Linked DNA regions of Oreochromis niloticus. The protein of the gene in region 2 interacts with the protein of the main gene of each other region in a biochemical or structural test. Links are inferred from orthologs where the notes say so. Each region holds a gene or a part of one and is shown on either strand. Other genes may lie near its edges.

Region 1 (9,380 bases), on a different chromosome or scaffold from region 2:
CACCTTAAGGTTGCACCTCTCATCCAACATTTATGCTCAGCGTCTCATCGGGAGGTTTGTTGCTGACTTACCCGTCTGGTAGCAAAAGCTTAGTTTCACTAAGAATTATCTGCACTTCCATGTGTAATATATTATGTATCCCTGTATTTGTACTGTACTGTATCTGGCTTTGCGGCTCTTCATGATGGAAATTTCCTTGATTTCTTTTAACCTTTACAAAGTCAAACTGATTTTCAGCCAAACAACTGGGTAGATGGGGGTGGGAAGGGAGGGCTCTTCTAAAAATTGTAGGCTTATCGTAAATAAATAAAAAAAATGCAGCGTGGAGCTACAGAGCAAGCAAATATGAGGTGCACTTTACGCTGACGATGCTTTGGGAAATGTGATTAATTTAAATAAAGACCTACAATACACAGATCTGAGATAAAGGTGAGCAGATTTCTTAACCTGTCGTCTCATTTGTTTAATCCCTTTCAACCACTAAATCTGTTCAGGGATGTTGTAGTGGGTGCTAAATTTGATTTCAGCATGCAGAGGTGAGAGGTAGGTCACAGGTCTATCAAAGAAATGATACATAAAAAGAAAAGACTCTTCCCTGGGGAATATTTTGGGCTTAAGAGGTTGGATTTAAACCCTGGACATATTCACTTAACACCATGCTAGCTGACAAATAAGGTATCTATATCACTGTATATGTTTATTTTACAGGGAATTTCCTTCTGGAGATGAAGGTCTAATAAATTTTATACAGTTATGTAATCTTTTTAAAGTACTGCAGATTTGTTTATTTGACTTTTCATTCAATGTAATTGTTTTTAAGTATATTTTGCGCTTCAAAAACCTGTCTTAAATGTCTCAGGTAATGCACATAATATTTTTGAACATGTCAACACTGCCATGTAATAAATATGGTGGCTTGCAGTCATCATATTATTCATTTGTTACTCAAAACTTTACTTGTTTCAGTCCTTACTTATGGACACAAATATGCCTTTTTTTCCCCCCTTCCTTACCTCTGCTTCTCCAGGGGCACGCTGGGGTCCATTTTGGTCGCCTCCCCATCCAGTGGGGGAATGGGAGAGGTAGGAGATGGAGGGGAAAGTTTGGTAGGGCTGGACGAGGGTGAGAGCTTGAGGGTGGGAAAGGAGGAAGATGGCTGTGTGAGAGGGGCGAGTTTAAGAATAGGAGAAGATGGAAAGGAAGAGGAGGAGGAAGATGAAGGAGAAGAGGAGACAAGTGTTTTATGGCTCCAGTTCCTCTGCCTCAGGGTCTGCTGCTGCTGTTGCTGCTGCTGCTGCTGGCGACCAGGGGTTGAATTGTTCTCTTTACTGAGAGAACAATCCACCGCTTCAAACTGAGCTAAAAGAAGCAGGAGAGACAATATCAACCTTTCATAATAAAGTTCTATCAAAGCATGCCAGTGATACCAAAGTAAACATATCTCTGGAAATTAATTCAGAAGGATTGTTTTGTTTCCTCAATAAAGTAAACACAAAATTGCTGTTATGTGTGTGCTGTACAAACAAAATCCTCGTTATCCTTCTTCCACACCCTAAACCCTAAACCCCCACCCTTCCCATGATCCCTCCCTCCTTTTCTCTACCTGACAGAGCTCTAACAATGTCCTCCTTTCTCCACTCCCACGGCAGTTCGTACTCTCCAGCTGGACGGACATCAGACTCCGGTCGTGTGACAGGGATCCACACGCCCTCACTGTCGCCTTCCAGTCCTCCTTCGTAGGGTATGTCATAGATGTTTGGGGGTGCAGGCATTACCTCTTCTGCCTTCCCCTCGCTTTGGCCTCGATCCAACAGGACACATACTTTCAAGAGGTCTTTGGAGCCCCGTCTACGAACCTCTACAGCAGAATGGATATGTGATTAGCTAACTGTATATAAGACTTGAACAGCTAAAGGCACATAATTGGCCTTCCCTTCAATATTACACCCCCACCTTAGTGTTTAAAGCACATTTCCCTTACAATATGTGTTCAGAAAAACAACTAAATTACAGTAGAAAAAAATTAAAAATGTACTTTTACTGAAATAATTTACGTGCCATTTCAAACATAACCACTATAGTCCAAATCAGATATTTTGGACAAAATACAGAATAAAACTGACGTTTAGAAACATCCTTAGTTTATTACAAGCTTTCACTCAAGTGCACAAATTAGGAGTTTACACCACACAGTCTGTAAAGCAACATTGTGCTGATTACATATATAGACTCCACTGTTCTGTCCTTCATTTGCTCGTTTCTTTTAAATAAATCAAGTATTGTTTGAATATTGTCTTTTTTTAACATTTTCGGGGAATTTTAATTGTTATGTTCCTTTTTGTTTTTTCATTTGGTGCCCGGCAGGTAGCCTGTGTGTCTACACTATTGTGTGACCAAACAATGGATTTACAGGAAGAAAAGGTCAACACAGCCGTTGATTGGCTCACTAACCGGACCGCTTCCTGACTGTTGGGAAGTGATTGGGTGAGACCGGGGGGAAACCTGTAGGTTTTTAGGGAGGGGTGAGAGGGGGGCTTTCGATTCTTGTCACATGCAGGGGACCATAAAGTATCTGGTGTCTGTCTCTGTGTGTTTGTGTATGTGTGGAAGGGGAGGCAGGAGGGCATTAGGGCCAATGTCCTATCGAGAGAATGGGGCAAAGGAAACAGAGGCAGGAGACAGGAAGCTGGAAGAGGAAGCTGCACCCATTGTCCCTGCACAACACTGTTACTATAGCCACCGCCAGCGGGGAGGGAAGTCAGTAGAGAGACTGAGGATCTAGCTTGGCTCTCAGTCCCTTTAAAATGATAAGTTAACAAGAATGTGATGCAGTCTAAGTGCTGATAAACTTAAATAAGATGTATAATTAGTGTTCCTTTACGAGCTCACAATACACTTGGCTTATCAAGCACGATATACAAAGTGAAGCAAAAGGTTAAAAAATTGGAATTAAGTTCTCAGAAAAATAAAAGATAGTCAACTTAAAGAAAAAAATACAAGGTGAAGATGTAGGAAGGATGTTGCTAGTGTTATTGTTGTGTTTCTATAAGCGATTCTGCCATTCTGTTTAAAGATGTGCTGTAGGACCAAGTTCACGACTGAATTCTTCTGCTATATTCACAAAAATATGTCGTTCACATTTGCTCAGCTGCTGAGAAAACAGTCCAAAACTCCGGAAAGCCAAGAAGCACCTTCATAATAAAACTTTGGCTGCTGAGATACGAGATCATGTGACCCTGACCTCACCTGTGATGATGACCTGGGCGTCATAAGGCTCCATGTACCCATCATTCACTCCTGCTCTCTCAGCTTCTCTCTGCTCCTTTGTTTTCTCCGCATCAAAAGGATCTGCATAGTCCTCCAGGATAATCAGCTGTTGAAAAGGGAAAAGCACAATGCCGGCCTGCTACCTATTCAAAAGTCACAGAGACAACAAGCAGTGTGCATGTGTGTGTGTGTGTCTGTGCGTGTGTGTATGTGTGTGGTGTCCATGACTGAGTGACAAGTAATGGAGGGACAAGCGGAAATACTTGTGCAAAGAGGTCAGCGCATTGTGTTTGCCTGTGTGATCTGAAACAATGAAGTGAAACTGTATTGTATTCTTTTGAGAACGATGGAAACTGAATACAGGGTTATGATCTGAGACATGGAGGGAAAACACAAAGGAAAGCACTGACCTTAAGCCCTGTACTATAATGATGTTTTAATGAACTAATTCATAAATAAATAGCTGCTGAAATATGAAGACATGTTATATGGGCATGTTATATAATTTCTATAAGTTACTCACCGTTGTTTTAATGTCAGATCGTCCTTTCTCGTTCTCGGGTAGCTTCTGTTCACATATCCCATTGAGTTTGGGGGTCTTTTCTTGTTTGTCCACTTTGATCATCCTGCTGATGTACGCTTGAGCCACACTAGAGGTCCTGACCTGGCGGTTCTCATCCGATGACGCGGTGTCGCTCTTGGTGTTCTTGCGACCTTTTCCAGCCGTGAGACTGTCCCAGACTGTTCCACCAGAACCAGCATTGTTACGACCCAGTTCTGTAGCCGAATTCTTCCTATTTCTCCCTGCCAACAAACCCCCCACTCCCCCATCTCTGCGCTGATTTCCTTTCAAACTGTCTCGTGAAAATGAAGGTTTGGGTCGAGTTTGTGGACCAGATTCGGAGGCTGAGCGCACTCTTTCATTTCCGTTCTTCAGGTTGATGGGGAAATCTCTGAACCATTTTGCCATGGTTGTTAAGTTGATGACACTTCTTACTGATTTTAAAAGTTACTAAAAGTTACTGGATTTTTTCCCACCTCCTTGCATTAGCCTCCCCCTAAAAGTTACTTTTAGCCTTCCTCAACAGCTCCAACTTTACGCACACTCACTTTGTTCACACTTCGACTGAAGTAACTTTGGTATGCAAGGATATCTGACTAATCACTTTAAGCAGATCCCACTTTATGATTCTATGCTGATTCCTAGCTCCTGAGACTCTCTCACAACTTCTGGTGCGTCTTGGAGATCATTAGCCAGCTGCTCTGTGTTGCTGTCACCCTGCACCTGCAGTAACAACTATCCCTGCAGTTTGAAAAGTAACTTTTGCAGAGCATAAACTCGAAAGAATTGGAAGTTTTTCTTTGAACCCAGTAAAGATCCCATTCCCGGAGCGTGAGATAGTGCGTCCAGTCTGTCGACCAGGCGAAGTGATGAGAGGAGTGAAAGGAGAGGAAAGTTGGAGTGAGCAGACTGGGGGATGTCGCTGGTTTCTGGGGAGGAGCTGCGCGCACGGGGCGGAGTGGCAGTTTTACTCAACAAGGAAGATTGTAAATCTCATGAAAACTTTTTATTTCCAGAACCCAAACTCTAAAACTTTTCTTTTTATTCTTCAACACACAATAAGTTTAATAACTGTGTTCAGCTCAGCTCTACACACATAACATTGCAACAGCAAAAGATAACAAAGGACAAAAAAGTTATATTTATTTATATGGGTTTTTTTTTTACACTCAGGGATGTTCCCAGGATTTCTTAAATCTTACACGGGTAAGCTATTACAATGTCAAAAATTGTGCTTAAATTGGAAAAGTGAAGTTTAAATATGTCTGTAGGTTCTCAGTTATCCAGTAGACTGGACTTCAGTGGGTTCATGAAGATGTTTCCCCTCTTGTGCACGAGACTTCTTCAGTTCTGCCCTTTCGATGAGAGGCAAAACATGCTCATAAATCTAAAGAAGTCTCGTTGCCTTCTTTTCAAGCTCTCAATTTTCAATTTAATTTTGTTGTATTCTCAACAATAATCAACTGAAGGTGATTTATATTTACATAAAGACTCAACAATATTAGTAAGAAAAATCCCAAGAATCACATGACCCCTTATGAGCAAGCACTTGGTGACAGTGGGAAGGGAAAAGAAATCACAATTTTGGTTGGAAGACACCAACCGATGCCATCTACAATCTTGTTGCTATGATAGCAAAGTGCTACAGCCCAGAGAACCAGCCGGTGTACGGCTGCGCCATCTACTGGTTAACAGGAGAAATAAACGTTGTGAGGCACCTGCGTCTATCAGTAGTCCTTGAAAAGTTTTGTTTATCTAGGTTACGCGGGTCATTATTTGGAAAAAAAAAAAATACAAGTTCCATTTTCAGCAAAAAAAAGGTGAAAAAATGGTCCAGAAACAAGGAATGAGTGGCATGGAGGTTTCACCAATTACAAACCTAGACAGTATCAATAGCCCCGCCCAAGCCAGCGAAACGGCCCAATCACAGCGCCGTACTTGGCGGGGCTGGGCGGAACGTTTACATCCCTGACAAAAAGGTAACAGGTTGCATTCCCAGCAGCAGCATAATGAACTTATTGCTGTGATAATTTCCGTAGGAGTTAGGTTTTTCTGTTCACGTTTCCGTGTGGGCTTTAATGGATGTCAGTCAATATATCTGAATTATTATCGGCATACAGCAGGCGAGAGGATACGAGAGGAGCAGAAGAATAAGTTCAGAAAAAAAGAGGTAAGTTCACGCTGGGTTTGGGACCTCTCATAGCCAGACAACTAAACCAGACAGGCGCCGCTCCTCGGACAGTTACTTTGACGCTTTGTGGGTTTCTGGTGCTGCCCAGCGGCACTTATTTTTGATTTATGGCAGTTATGTAATAGTTTATTTGGTAGTGTCACTGTGAGCCAGTGTAGCTGAGCAGCTAACGATGGTTCGAGAGAAACAGCGCTACCAGCTAACGTTACTCCAAGATAACTTTTGGATTTGCCCGTTAAGTGAAGGGAAGTAAATGACAAATAAAACAGAATAATACGTCTCTTTAAGACAAATGTAAGTATAGCGAAGGTAGGCTTATTGTCAGAGGTTTAACTTTTAAAACCACAAAGTTGTTTAGAAATGAGCCAGGTGTTTCCGTTTCTGTGCACACCTGTGTACACCTGTGCGACCAGGAGATCTGTCATTGGAACAACGGTACAGGAGAAACGTTTTTAGCACATAGCTCAAAAGGATGAATGCAACTGTAGGGAAACCATTAAAGGATTGAACCCGGGTAAACAATGGATAAACATGCATTTCAAAGTACACCTGCTTTTGTTCTCTTCACAGCTCATGTGAAACTGATGACACGGGCAAGAAGGAACAGCAGATTATAGTTTTGAGGTGGGGAAAGGCTCATGGATTGGGTCGTGAATTTCACTAATTATAGCATTGAGCCTGCAAAGCTTCGGGTACAGTTTCAGAACTCGTAATGCGGTGGGAATGCCTCACATTGGACTAACAGATAAAAGACCTGTGCCGTGTTACACGTACAAGCAGCTGATACACTCAAGTGTGCAGATAAAACGCCATAAAGTGAGTCTCCCACACTGACACACTTTCAGCCCCTGTATGTGTAAAGGACAGAGAGACCAGTGTCAGGAATTTGGAAAAGGGAGGGGTGTATTTATGTGCTCCTACTTTTGTGTCATTTTTTTTGTACATTGTTATGCCAATGAACTCCTTTGCACTGAGAAGAGGAATAAATGGGTGTTTGTTTGAGGGTGAAAGAGGATGAGGGCTTGGTGTTATGTCAAGAATGTAATGGAGAGGGAGTATACTCTGAGGACTGAGTACCTGACTCTCCTTTAAAAGCAGAAGAGAGAGTACAGCACTTGTATCTCTGTTGCTTACATGATGACATTTGTGATTTGCAGGACAGTCCTGTAAAACTTTATGATTCACTTGGAAGAAAAGGAGGATTAAATGTTTTTTACAGCATCCATATGCCAGCTTTATAGCATGCTGTAAACTAGCTCTCAAATAGTCCAACTAGCTATGAGTTGATAACATTTTGATTTATTTGTTTTGTTGGGGTTTTTTTAAGGGCAAATATTTTCAGATGTGGTGTTTTGAGGCTTCCTTGGTTTAGTGTCTGGCTGTTTTCCATCGCTTTCAAGCTCATTCAGCACACAGGCGTTTACATTTTCATTCTTAAGACGTTTATACAGTGCTTACCAAATTTATTAGACCCCCGCGCATTGTAGGTTTTATGGCACATCTGCCCTAAATTAACAGTATCGGTAACCAAAATCATTTTTATGTTTCTGTTCTTTAAAAGTTCTTTAATCAAAATTATGTTTTGGATGCAAAAATCTTAATTATTGCTTTATTTTTTTATTTTATTTTTATTTTTTACAAAAGCAGTAAAGCACATTATTATTTTTCTGATTAAGATGTGTAATTAGAAAAACCGTTTCTGCCAAGTCCGGTTTTGTGGCTTTATGAGGACAGAAGCTCCGCCCACTTGCTGTTCAAACCTTCTGTTTGCTTTTGGTAGCCAGTAAAAAGAAAGTTTAAAGGGAGAGGAGCTCAATGAATTGTTTCAGGTGTTAATTAATTGAGGAGTCAAACCAAAGACCAGTATAGGATAAACAAGGTTTGTTTTGAACTGTGACTCATGCAAAGCTGTTCTCGTATAGTTTGAGAACGAGAGAAGACTGGCTTTACTTAAAAACATAGCACATGCTTACGTACTTGTAGTGCTTACGTTTTGGCATGAAGGGTTGTTTTTATACCCTAAGGATATGTTTTTGGCACATGTTGCCATTACCCTTGTCTGCCATCTCCAGCGGTGTCATTTTTGGGCCAGTCTAGAGATGATGCGATCACATTAGCCATGTGGACTGAGTCAGCAGAGGCATGTGATTCCACACGTTGCCGTTGTTTCATTTTTCTCCTCACCCATTCTGATGTCCTCATTCTTTTTTCCTTTTCCTTTCCACCTTAGGTCTTAAAACGAAAGCAGCTTCAATTCAATTTACTTTTTGAGAATTGAGTTTGAGGCCACAGGCACAGGCTCGTCAGCATAACTGCAGGGTAGCACGACTCTCATGAAATTACAAAAGCTCCAGATATAGCTGTGCAAGCAAAGCTGGTCTGTTATTAAAGTTGCAGTACTCATAGTTATGATTCTGGGTCTCTAGAGTGAACACTGTTTAGTCGCTTATTGGCTAATGGATTGCTTTCTGTATTTAAAAAAAACAAATTCATGGGTTTTACAGACCTGAAACAATCACCTTAGGTGTGACATGTTAGTTTCACTCACGAGTTTAAGATCAAAGGAGAGCTTGTTTGCCATCCTACTCTCAGTGTAGAAAGCATGTTTATTTAGAGTGCTGTGGAGGAAAAAACACTTTGGAGTGAAGCCTAAAAGCAAAATTTAAGCATTGAAAATGACTTCTTATAATCAGATGGACAGTGTGACAGAAGAGAAAGGGGCAGGAGCAGCAGGGGTAGTTAAAGCATTCCAGAATTGCTGCCCTCATTTTCCGCCCCACATCAGCTGGACAATGGGATGAGTTCTCCTCCAACCACGTCCCGCTGTCGGAGCTGGAAGTGCCTTCCTCCTCTGTGACAAATAAACAGATATTCTCAGACAGACATCTTTCTGCTTTACATTTTGGTTTCTTTACACCAGTTTGGCTCACTTGTTGCTTTACGGGTCACATCAGTTTAGATGAGCATGTCCCATTAAATCGCAGATTATTAGTTAGTGCACTTTTCTTGCGTGTCTGTGCTACAATCGTCAGTGGACGACACTTTTGGTTGACCTTGGTTTACAAGAGTGGGCTGAAATCTTTATGCTCGGCTTCACAAACTTGTTGTGACACACGGCGCTTCTTCTGTGGTTCCCAAAGGGTGAAAAAAATCGACCAGCTGCACACAGATACCTTCGAAGGTCATTCTCAGTGACGTCACTCCATTCATTGCTGGGCCAGTCATTACCTTCTTATCTTGCTCCGAAACTGTTTCATAGGACCACTCCTGCTTGCCTCGCTTCTATCTCAGAGTCGCTTGGCTTGTTTGTCTTGTCTTACAGATTAAAAAAAGTTAGTAGAGAAATTTTTAAAAAGTGTT
Region 2 (8,703 bases):
GAAAAAAGTTTCATTTCAAATCTTTCCTCCTGTTTCCTCTACAGAGAGAAAGCCAGTCTGCATGTAAAGGGACTGGCTCATATACAGTGATCAGTGATCAGAAGTTGATTGCTAAGCTATAGTTGTAAAGGTAAAACTTTAAACAATTTTGTTTTCCAGCATGATCACATGAAATTTACAATGACTGTTCAGCCAATTAAAACACAAAACAAATTAAGCGCTACCTAAATCACATGCTTGCATTTGCCAATCACAGCTGTTCTCTATCATATCAAAACTATCTCTCCACTCACAGCTGTCCAGAAGTGGCACCGGTGATGGTTTGATCGGAACGTGTCCCAGAGCGGCCAGAAGCTAGTCTCTCACTCAGAGAACCAAGGTTACAAAGTAACCAACTGTTCTCTGCATTCAAAAACAGATACAACAAATTCAAATGTTTGGGACAAAAATCTAATTTCTCACAACAGATCATTGTCTGTTGTTTGGAAATACTTTTGATTTAGTGCAAGTGAAGAAAATCTGCAAAAAGAGTTGTGTGTGTCTGCACTGCAAAGCAACAAAGCGTCTTCAGCTATCTGAAATAAAACAACAAAAACTGCAGTATAATTCATGCATGAAGTCAAAGAGAAACTGTGCAATGCTAACATTAATCATCAACTCACCTATTGATAAAAACAAGGGTCACACCGTGCAAAAGACGTGTTATCCCCTCACATACTTTTTTTCCAAAGAGACAAAACCTGTCGCAGGAGTAAAATAAAGAGATCTCACAGCTACTATTAATATTATCCATCATGCAGGTACAAGGAATGGAGTGAAAGACCCTACCTTTAATATTCTAATAATCTCATAATACGTGAAGATGTACACAAATCTTTGCAAGTTCTGCTTACATAAAACAATTTTTGCCACTAAAATCAGTGAAGAATCCTGACAAATATTTGTGATCTCAATATTGTACAAAATAATTATACGACAGTCAAAATTACTCCAACCAGTTGCAGTACTGTCGCAACCACGACAGTACTGGAGGCAGTCGCTGTCCAACCTCGATGCTGAGATTAGTTAATCGCTCTACACGCCTACTTGATCTTGGCAGCAGTTATTTGGGACGTTATCGCTGCAGCTCGCTGAATTTCAGACATTTTCGTTGTCTCTGGTCGCGACATCACAGCCAGTCCTGTTCTTACGCTCGTTAAGGAACAACATCTCCCATTACCTGAGTGCAAGTGAGTCTGATATAAATCATGTATGAGCTAGGTCTTCCAGCAGCAGCTTATTTCTGCGTTGTGCAATCTCAACCTTGTGGTATGAATGGAAGGAAACCAGACCACTTACTCAACCTTTCAGAAGACGCTGACATTTCATTTAGTTATGAAGATACAAACTGTTCAGCCTGGCTTCTTCGGGTGTTTAAATTCCTTTCTTGTGTTGCACGAGTCAAAGAGTAAAGTGAATGTAAAGCAATGCATTTTTCCCTCTGGAGGACTGAAATTAAGAAACTAACTACTTCTAAATATGAAAGCAGTTATATAAAACAGATTGAAGTTGAAGCTACAACTCGTCAACTGCTATTAGCTCACCGGTTGAAACACATCAGGATTAAACTTCTATGATGCACAGTGATCACCTAAACTTGGGTCATTGCTTTGGTATTCCAACCTAAAGTCACACCTTACATTTTTAAGCATTAGCTCAGTCTTCACAGCAAGCGAGTTACTTGTGTGCACGTGAGCCTACTGACTCTGGACTCTGACTTCACTGAATAAAGACGGAAATGGCAGGCAAGAGAATCCAAGGGTGACTCCATGAAACACACACTGCAGCTACACGCTGGCTCAGCTACGCTCCGTTAAAGTGGCTGTCGGAGGCGATACAGTAATCCACTTTTAATGGCCGTGTCCCTTCCCCCACCGTGATGTGATGGCCCCGGACATACCACTGCGCCTCTCTTAAGGGAGAAGTGTCAAAACCAAGTCACCGCTGTGCGCTGTCCTACATGTTTGACAGTGGTTGGAGAGGAGCAAACCTATCCTTTCTCCCATGTGAGATCATTTCTGATTCAAAGTAATGGACCCATTTGCTCCCACATGTAGGATGGACCCCCTCAAAGCCTTGCACATCCTACGCAAGGAACCAGAGTTTGTCTTCTCAGTGTAAAGCAGTGCAAATCTGTAAGGATTGTGCTGGGTGCTTAATGTTATCTGCGTGGATTACAGTAGAAGAAAGACTGAATCTGCTCATTGTGATAAGATCCTATAATTAGACTGAACACCACTCTGCTGTGTCACGTTTTCTTTTTTTGTTCCTTTTCTTCTTTATAATGCTCCTTATTTCAATTAGTAAAAGAAGCGTTCTTCACAGTTTCCTTTATTATGCCCTATAGTGCAAACACATTCACAGTGTATCACAGTATAACAGCCTCTGACAGGTTGTCAGAAGCCAAATAAGGTTAAGGCAGTAGCATCTTGCGCCCTGACACCAACTAATCAATTCATCGAGTGCATAAAGAAATAGGTCAGTTTGTCATTGGTATCATATTTAAATCATCTTTGAAGAGAAGCTCAGTGCAGCATTATCAAACTTTTGTTCAGGTAAATTTTAATAGTTTTGTGATGTAAAAAAAATATCTGGAGTTTATAAATGTTGACATGATTTCTTCAAAATATCTTAGTTTGCTGTCATCTTGTCATGTAGCTGTGAAAGCTAGAAGCAGAGAAGAGAGATTTTGTTTCGTTTTGTTTCAAAAAAGAAATCTTACAGTATTAAAGCATCCTGGGAACTTTTGGAGAGAAGGAAAGCGATGGGGAATTAATTGCAACAGAGGTGAGATGTAGAGACAGCTTTCTAAAATAAATTTTAAAAAAGTCTTTTGCTTGTTAAGTTTTGCTGATTCATCCGGAAACACCAGAGAACATTTTTAGACGGATAAATGATATCAAACGTGGACGTGTATTAAACTAGGTGGACATATTTAAATGGAAACGCACGGAGACGTGATCAACCAATGAGAGTTAAACACCAAGCACCGCTCCTACACAAATGCAGGTGGCAAGAAGCTGCTAAATAAGAGATGAGCGTTTTTTGGGTTTTTTTTACTACTACACGTGATCGCAGAAATAGACGCGAGACCAGAGAGCTGCTCGGAAAACTGAAATCGCCGAGTGCGTGCGGGTAAAATAAGAAAGCGGTGTGTGTCCGCGTCGTTTCACTGTTGCTGTAAATCCACCTGCTCTGTTTCGTGAAAACCTCACCAGCGGATCATAACACTCAGAGACCACCAGGAGGAACACGGAGAAGGGGCGATTGCGCACTGTTCACCCCTCTCCTCCTCCTCCCCGCCTAAATACCTGCTGGGTGTCGATGTCACCGGCGCGCACATCAAACTGTTGTTGAAGGCAGAGCGTCACAGAGGCGGATGGAGGCAGTCGCTTCCGCCAGCAGCTGCTGAGCTTCAACTTCACAGCAGACATAGCAGAAAAGCGCGACTGGAGCTTCTCAAACAAGACAACAAAGCCCAGAGGTTCATTTCAAACCTGCTTTCCCCTACGCTCCACACGCACCAACACACGCTCCGAACCAAAGCGCGCACCTCCTCCTCTTTGTCCATACTCACCACAGCTGTCTCTTTGCGGGGAGGCAGTCTTTGTTGGAGGCTGTCACTCCCATGGCCATCTGCATCACCGTTATATATTTCTGGTACTTCATCTTCTCCTTCTGCAACTCCTGCTGCCGCTTCTGCTGCTGCTACTTTTACTACAACTACAACTACTGCTGCTGGTGCTGCTACTTCTAGGAATCCGCGCGCCACCAAAGCGGCACAGGTGAGCGTGCATTCAAATGTCTGTTATTGTCCCCTCGCGTCATCCGCGGCATCCTCGGTGTCAAAAACGCCATTTCCACGCTGGAAGCACCGCTGACAGGGAGGACGTTCCCGGAGGAGTTCAAGGAAAGGTGCCACGCCGCCGCGACCCATGTCCGCGCTGACCCTCTAATCTCATTAGAGCTCAGAATAGATTGGCTAATCTATTCAATTTTAGTCAGGACCGGGTCATTGTTGTGGTTTGCCTCGTATGGCGGACACTTTCCCGGCCGCCAAACCGTGAAATGCCGGTTTGTTTGTGTGGAGAAAAAGAGTCGAGGGAAAGAGGCGGTTCAACAGTGAGCGGTAGGATGCAGCGGCGACGGCACCCAAGCGTCTGCGAGGTAGGAAAGAGAGTGCGCGTGTGTTCAGCCAGAGAGGGAGAGAGCAGGAGAGTGACACAGGAGGAGGGAGGGAGGAGGAGAGAGGAAGCCATGTAATGGCTTTAGTGTGCGTGCGTGTGTGTGTGTGTGTGGAGGGGGGGGGAGACGTCGTCTAACTGATGCTTAGAGAAATCCCAGGATTGTAAAACTGAGAAGGTGTGTTTTCGACCTTGTTTTCTGCGAGATTGGTCCATTAAACTGAATTAAAGCATGGGGTGGATTTAAATATCATAAAGTGGAGGTGGAGAGGAACAAATCAGCTCATATGGAATTAAATAATCAGGAGGCAAGTAGGTGACCAGATTTGGTAACCTGGACCTTTAAGTATGAAGAATGAAAAAACCCCATGTATTACAAAGGAGAACTATTCCTGTATTCCTGTGCCTATATAAAGACTAAAAACATAAATGCAGATGATACAGGAAACCAGCTGCCTTTTCTGAGCTTCACACAAAGTGGAAAAAAACTGTCCTCCAATTGCAGGAGTCAAAATATGTTGTTTTTTAATTTATTTTAAACCATTGAGCTCATATTTTCCAGACTAAAGACAAAGAGACCAATGAGTACAAAAGCCAGCATCCATCATTTTATGAGGCACATCTGACCATGAAGCAGAGGTAAGTTGCAAATCTGTGAAGGCACCATGAAAGCTTAATACAAGTTGTGGCGCAACATTTACTAATGATGTCGTTTACTAATGACCACGCTCTGCATGTATTAAAACATCATGTCTGTTGACCAATTGTAAAAATTATTCAGTGCAATTAAAAATACAAAAAATGATGCTTTAGACTAGGGCTGTCAACCATAAGGCCCAGGGGCCAAAACTGGCCCACCAAAGACACCAATTTGGGTCCCTGGGTGGCTCTCGAAAATGTGAAGGAGAGCATACATTATGGACACACCCCCACAGTCCCAGAGCCATTCATATTACACCAAATTAATTAAGTAATAGATAAACAATTAAATGACTAAAAGTTTGTTTTTCACTGTCTGCTACAGAAATTTGTGCTTTTTATATGGGTTTACATTAAAAAAAATATTATTAGAGGGCCGTCTACACAATGAGCTACCAGAACTTTTTCTGTCATTTTACACATTTAAGCCCAATGAGTCATGCTGACAGATTTTTCTTTATCATGTAGAAAAAATGGGATGTGCTATTGAAATTGTACGTCTTTTTCTTTCATTAAAATACCTCAGGGATCGAATGTGTAAAGTTGGTAACTCTGAGAAAAAGGGGTGTTTCACTGGTCCCGCCCTCGTAAGCTCAAAGGGGGCCATATGTGGTAACGTGTTTGACATCCCTGCTCTACACTATTAAAGCCGAACTCGTAAGTCCGCCTGGAATAGGAAAACATTTTGCTTTAAATACTTCAGTATTATTCTCTCCACTTCCCAAGTTCTTTTTTTGTTTTTTCACAGAAGAGGTGATAAAACAGTGAAAGAAAACACTGTACCACCATTTTTGAAACATATTACTGGCAATAAATTCAAAATAAGCAACAACATGTTGTATTTGTAATATTTTCAGTTAAATATAGAGCTTAAAAGGTTTGCAGACTGTTGCATTGTGCTATTTTTTTTAGACATTTTACTCCGTTTCCAGTCTTTTTTGGAAGCATGAGCTGTGCATTAAAATCTTGGGTCATCTTAAACCACCACACAGCTCCAACTGAATAAAATGGACAATCAACATTACTGTAATAAGTAAAAAATATATATCTCCTCTTAATTTATTTTAATATACTTGCTAATGGTGCATATTATACACACATAAATACATTGTTCTTTTACATTTTCCAATAACTAGATTAAAGAATATTATAGTTAACATTATAATGTAGATATTATGATGGATTACTAATGTGTTTTGTTTTTAACATACATGCTATACCTCCTAATGCCATCCATACTAAATGCAAGGCTGAGGTTACACTTACTTACTGTTAGGTCTAATTGTTGAATGTTGCCATTGTGTTTCTTAAATTTGTACAGTCTTAGTTCAAGCAGTATTATCAAAGCTATTCCTTTGATCCTGAGCACCTCTAACCACTTTGTGTTGGGGGAGGTTTTATAGCAGATACATCCTATCTGGAAGATCTACTTCCTTTGATGTAAGCTTCCTGCGTTTACGACCCTTTGGTCAGCAGGAGGACACACACACACACACACACACCTGCATGCATATACATACAGTGCCTTGTCTTTGTAACCAAAGGGGGTTGCGAGGGGAGGTGTTTTGTAAACTATTGTTTGAAGTTTGTCAATAAAAGCCAGCGAGAGGAGGCCCTCATCGGGGTCACTTCCATGCTGGACATAGACGAGGCCTCCCTTGCGCAAGTAATCGATCGATCGCTGACTGTCTTGTTTTCATTCATGATGAATAAGTCTCTAGAATTAGCGGGGTTTGTGGGAACAGACCCAACACTTACCCTTTAGGTGCTGATAGTTCACAGAGTGTCTACAGATGATAATCAATTCAGTGATTGATTCGGTGTCAAATTTAAATGCCCAGTAAATACAAGTCTTTAGTGAGACCTGAAAGACGAGGGGACGCAGAGGAGGCTGTGCGCTCATGACCTAAGGAGGAGTTACTCCCCGTGTGCGTGACATCTGTCAAACAAGTGAAATGCATTTCCCAGGGCTGTCGAATAATTTAGATTATGATGTAACCATAAAGAGAGTTCACAGACTCCTTCTGCATAAACCCCTTGGGCAGGACCACTTACCATTAAAGAATTTGGCAATGAAGCTGGATTGCATCCTGCATATTTTATAATGAAGCTGCATCACGAGGGGAAACAGCATGTCCCTATCCCTGTATTTACATATTTGTTCAGACTAATAAACAGAATGAAAGATGGGAGAAGGACTGAGTATAAACCATAGTCCCCTTGAGACGGCCCATGCACCAGAAAAAAGCAAATGTAGATATAAACTCTATCTTTGACCAGCAAGCCAATGCAAAGCAAGCCAATGGAACCAGCAAGCCAATGCAAAGGCAGGTAAATTTTGGATGGAGCAAGCTGGTGAGCAGCTGGTGGGGAAGGTCAGGAGGAAACTGCTGTTATCAGCACTGCTTGATATTGGCAGCTCTGAAAACAACAGAAAATTCACCCCAAAAAACTGAACACAGCCTCTCATGAAACTCCTCTGATGTTTATTTACAGTTCTTGGAGTTGGGAAGAGGATTAAATAAACATGTACACACATACACACACCAGCGTGCCAGTGGTCTGAAGGAGGGTGAGGTCACCACAGCAGTGATATGGTTTTAAGCCAAAAAGGACAGCGAAAACTGACGCACGGTCCTCAGCAGGCTGTCGATATTCCCTTTAATCTCTGGTATTAAACGCAATTTACTGGCTCCATTAGCCCCAAAAGTTTAAAATAGATTCTCTGGGCCTCACTTAGCTTCTTCTGCACTCATTTTATGGCCTCAAACATAAAACTACACCTCCTTATATAGCCACAGACAAAAAAACAAAACAAGGCTAACTGTCCCCAAACCCAGCTGCCACAGATGTGATGTTATGGTGGGTTAAAGAGGGATTGAAAAGAATGCTGGTTTGGTTAAGAGTGAGATTTCCCTCAGGAGCAGCAACCATCCAAATGTGTTGATCCCCCCCCCACCGCCATAAATTACACTATCCACTGGCCCCTGGCCACAATTAATCACATGACCACAGCAGCCAGATTAAATCTGTAGCCTTGGACTGCTCTCCTGTCTCACTCTTGCTCTGCCTCTCTTTCATACCAAAAAGCAGACAGCAGGAGCAGACACATGGACCACATCAGCTGAGCATACAGCGGCAGATTATTACGTCTGAGTAAGCACAGAAAATTAGTCACCGAATGGCTGATGCGTGTCATCATTCACCTGTCATCTGTCTCTCCCTGCTCTGAGTGGTGTCTGTACAGCTCACAGGGACTGCCCCAGTTGTTATTATAGACCGCTTTTTGAAGTTTCCTGTACTCACATGCCCTTCAACGACAGCCAAAGAAGGAAAAAAACACTGCCAGAGGCCAAATTGTCACTTTTGGAGTGATGAAGAAAATCAGTTATGTCTTTCTGTAGTGGAAGTGTGAAATTTAGATGTGAAGAAGCAAAAGGCAAAGCAGGGCGATTCAAGTCTGTAGTACAGAGATTACACAACTCTGGTTTCCCAGAGCATACAGTGGGAAAAGTCTGGAAAGTCGGATAAGTTCATTTAATGGATATAGTGTTGGGTTAGCCGCTTTAGAATTACCCAGGATACCTTTGGGGGTATGAATACCTCGATTTCTCTGTCTTCCACGTAAACATCATATCCTATCGATGATCCAAAAAAAGACTCAAAACCAGGATAGCCGTTTCCCTGTGCAATGTGGATGCTGCACTCCTGCTGTAACTCAACACTCCACTGCAGAGCATCACTGTCTCTGGGCTTGGCCACATTTTACCCTGACACCTGA

What was found.
Region 1: the proteins of tjp1a (region 2) and cgna form a complex in vitro, tested with the Homo sapiens proteins (2 studies listed by BioGRID and IntAct, with this or other methods). The link is inferred for Oreochromis niloticus from reciprocal best matches to the Homo sapiens genes TJP1 and CGN.

What each region holds. Positions count from the first base shown.
Region 1 is NC_031976.2:20,779,084-20,788,463, reverse strand, and holds the start of cgna (cingulin), read left to right. Parts: upstream 1-5,785; 5' UTR 5,786-5,999; intron 6,000-9,380. Other genes in the region: she (SH2 domain-containing adapter protein E), read right to left, coding at 1,014-1,359, 1,604-1,858, 3,247-3,373, 3,791-4,237. UniProt on the Homo sapiens protein: Probably plays a role in the formation and regulation of the tight junction (TJ) paracellular permeability barrier.
Region 2 is NC_031965.2:19,077,215-19,085,917, forward strand, and holds the start of tjp1a (tight junction protein ZO-1), read right to left. Parts: upstream 3,874-8,703; 5' UTR 3,709-3,873; coding exon 3,617-3,708; intron 3,398-3,616; exon of another isoform or gene 3,383-3,397; coding exon of another isoform or gene 3,351-3,382; intron 1-3,350. UniProt on the Homo sapiens protein: TJP1, TJP2, and TJP3 are closely related scaffolding proteins that link tight junction (TJ) transmembrane proteins such as claudins, junctional adhesion molecules, and occludin to the actin cytoskeleton.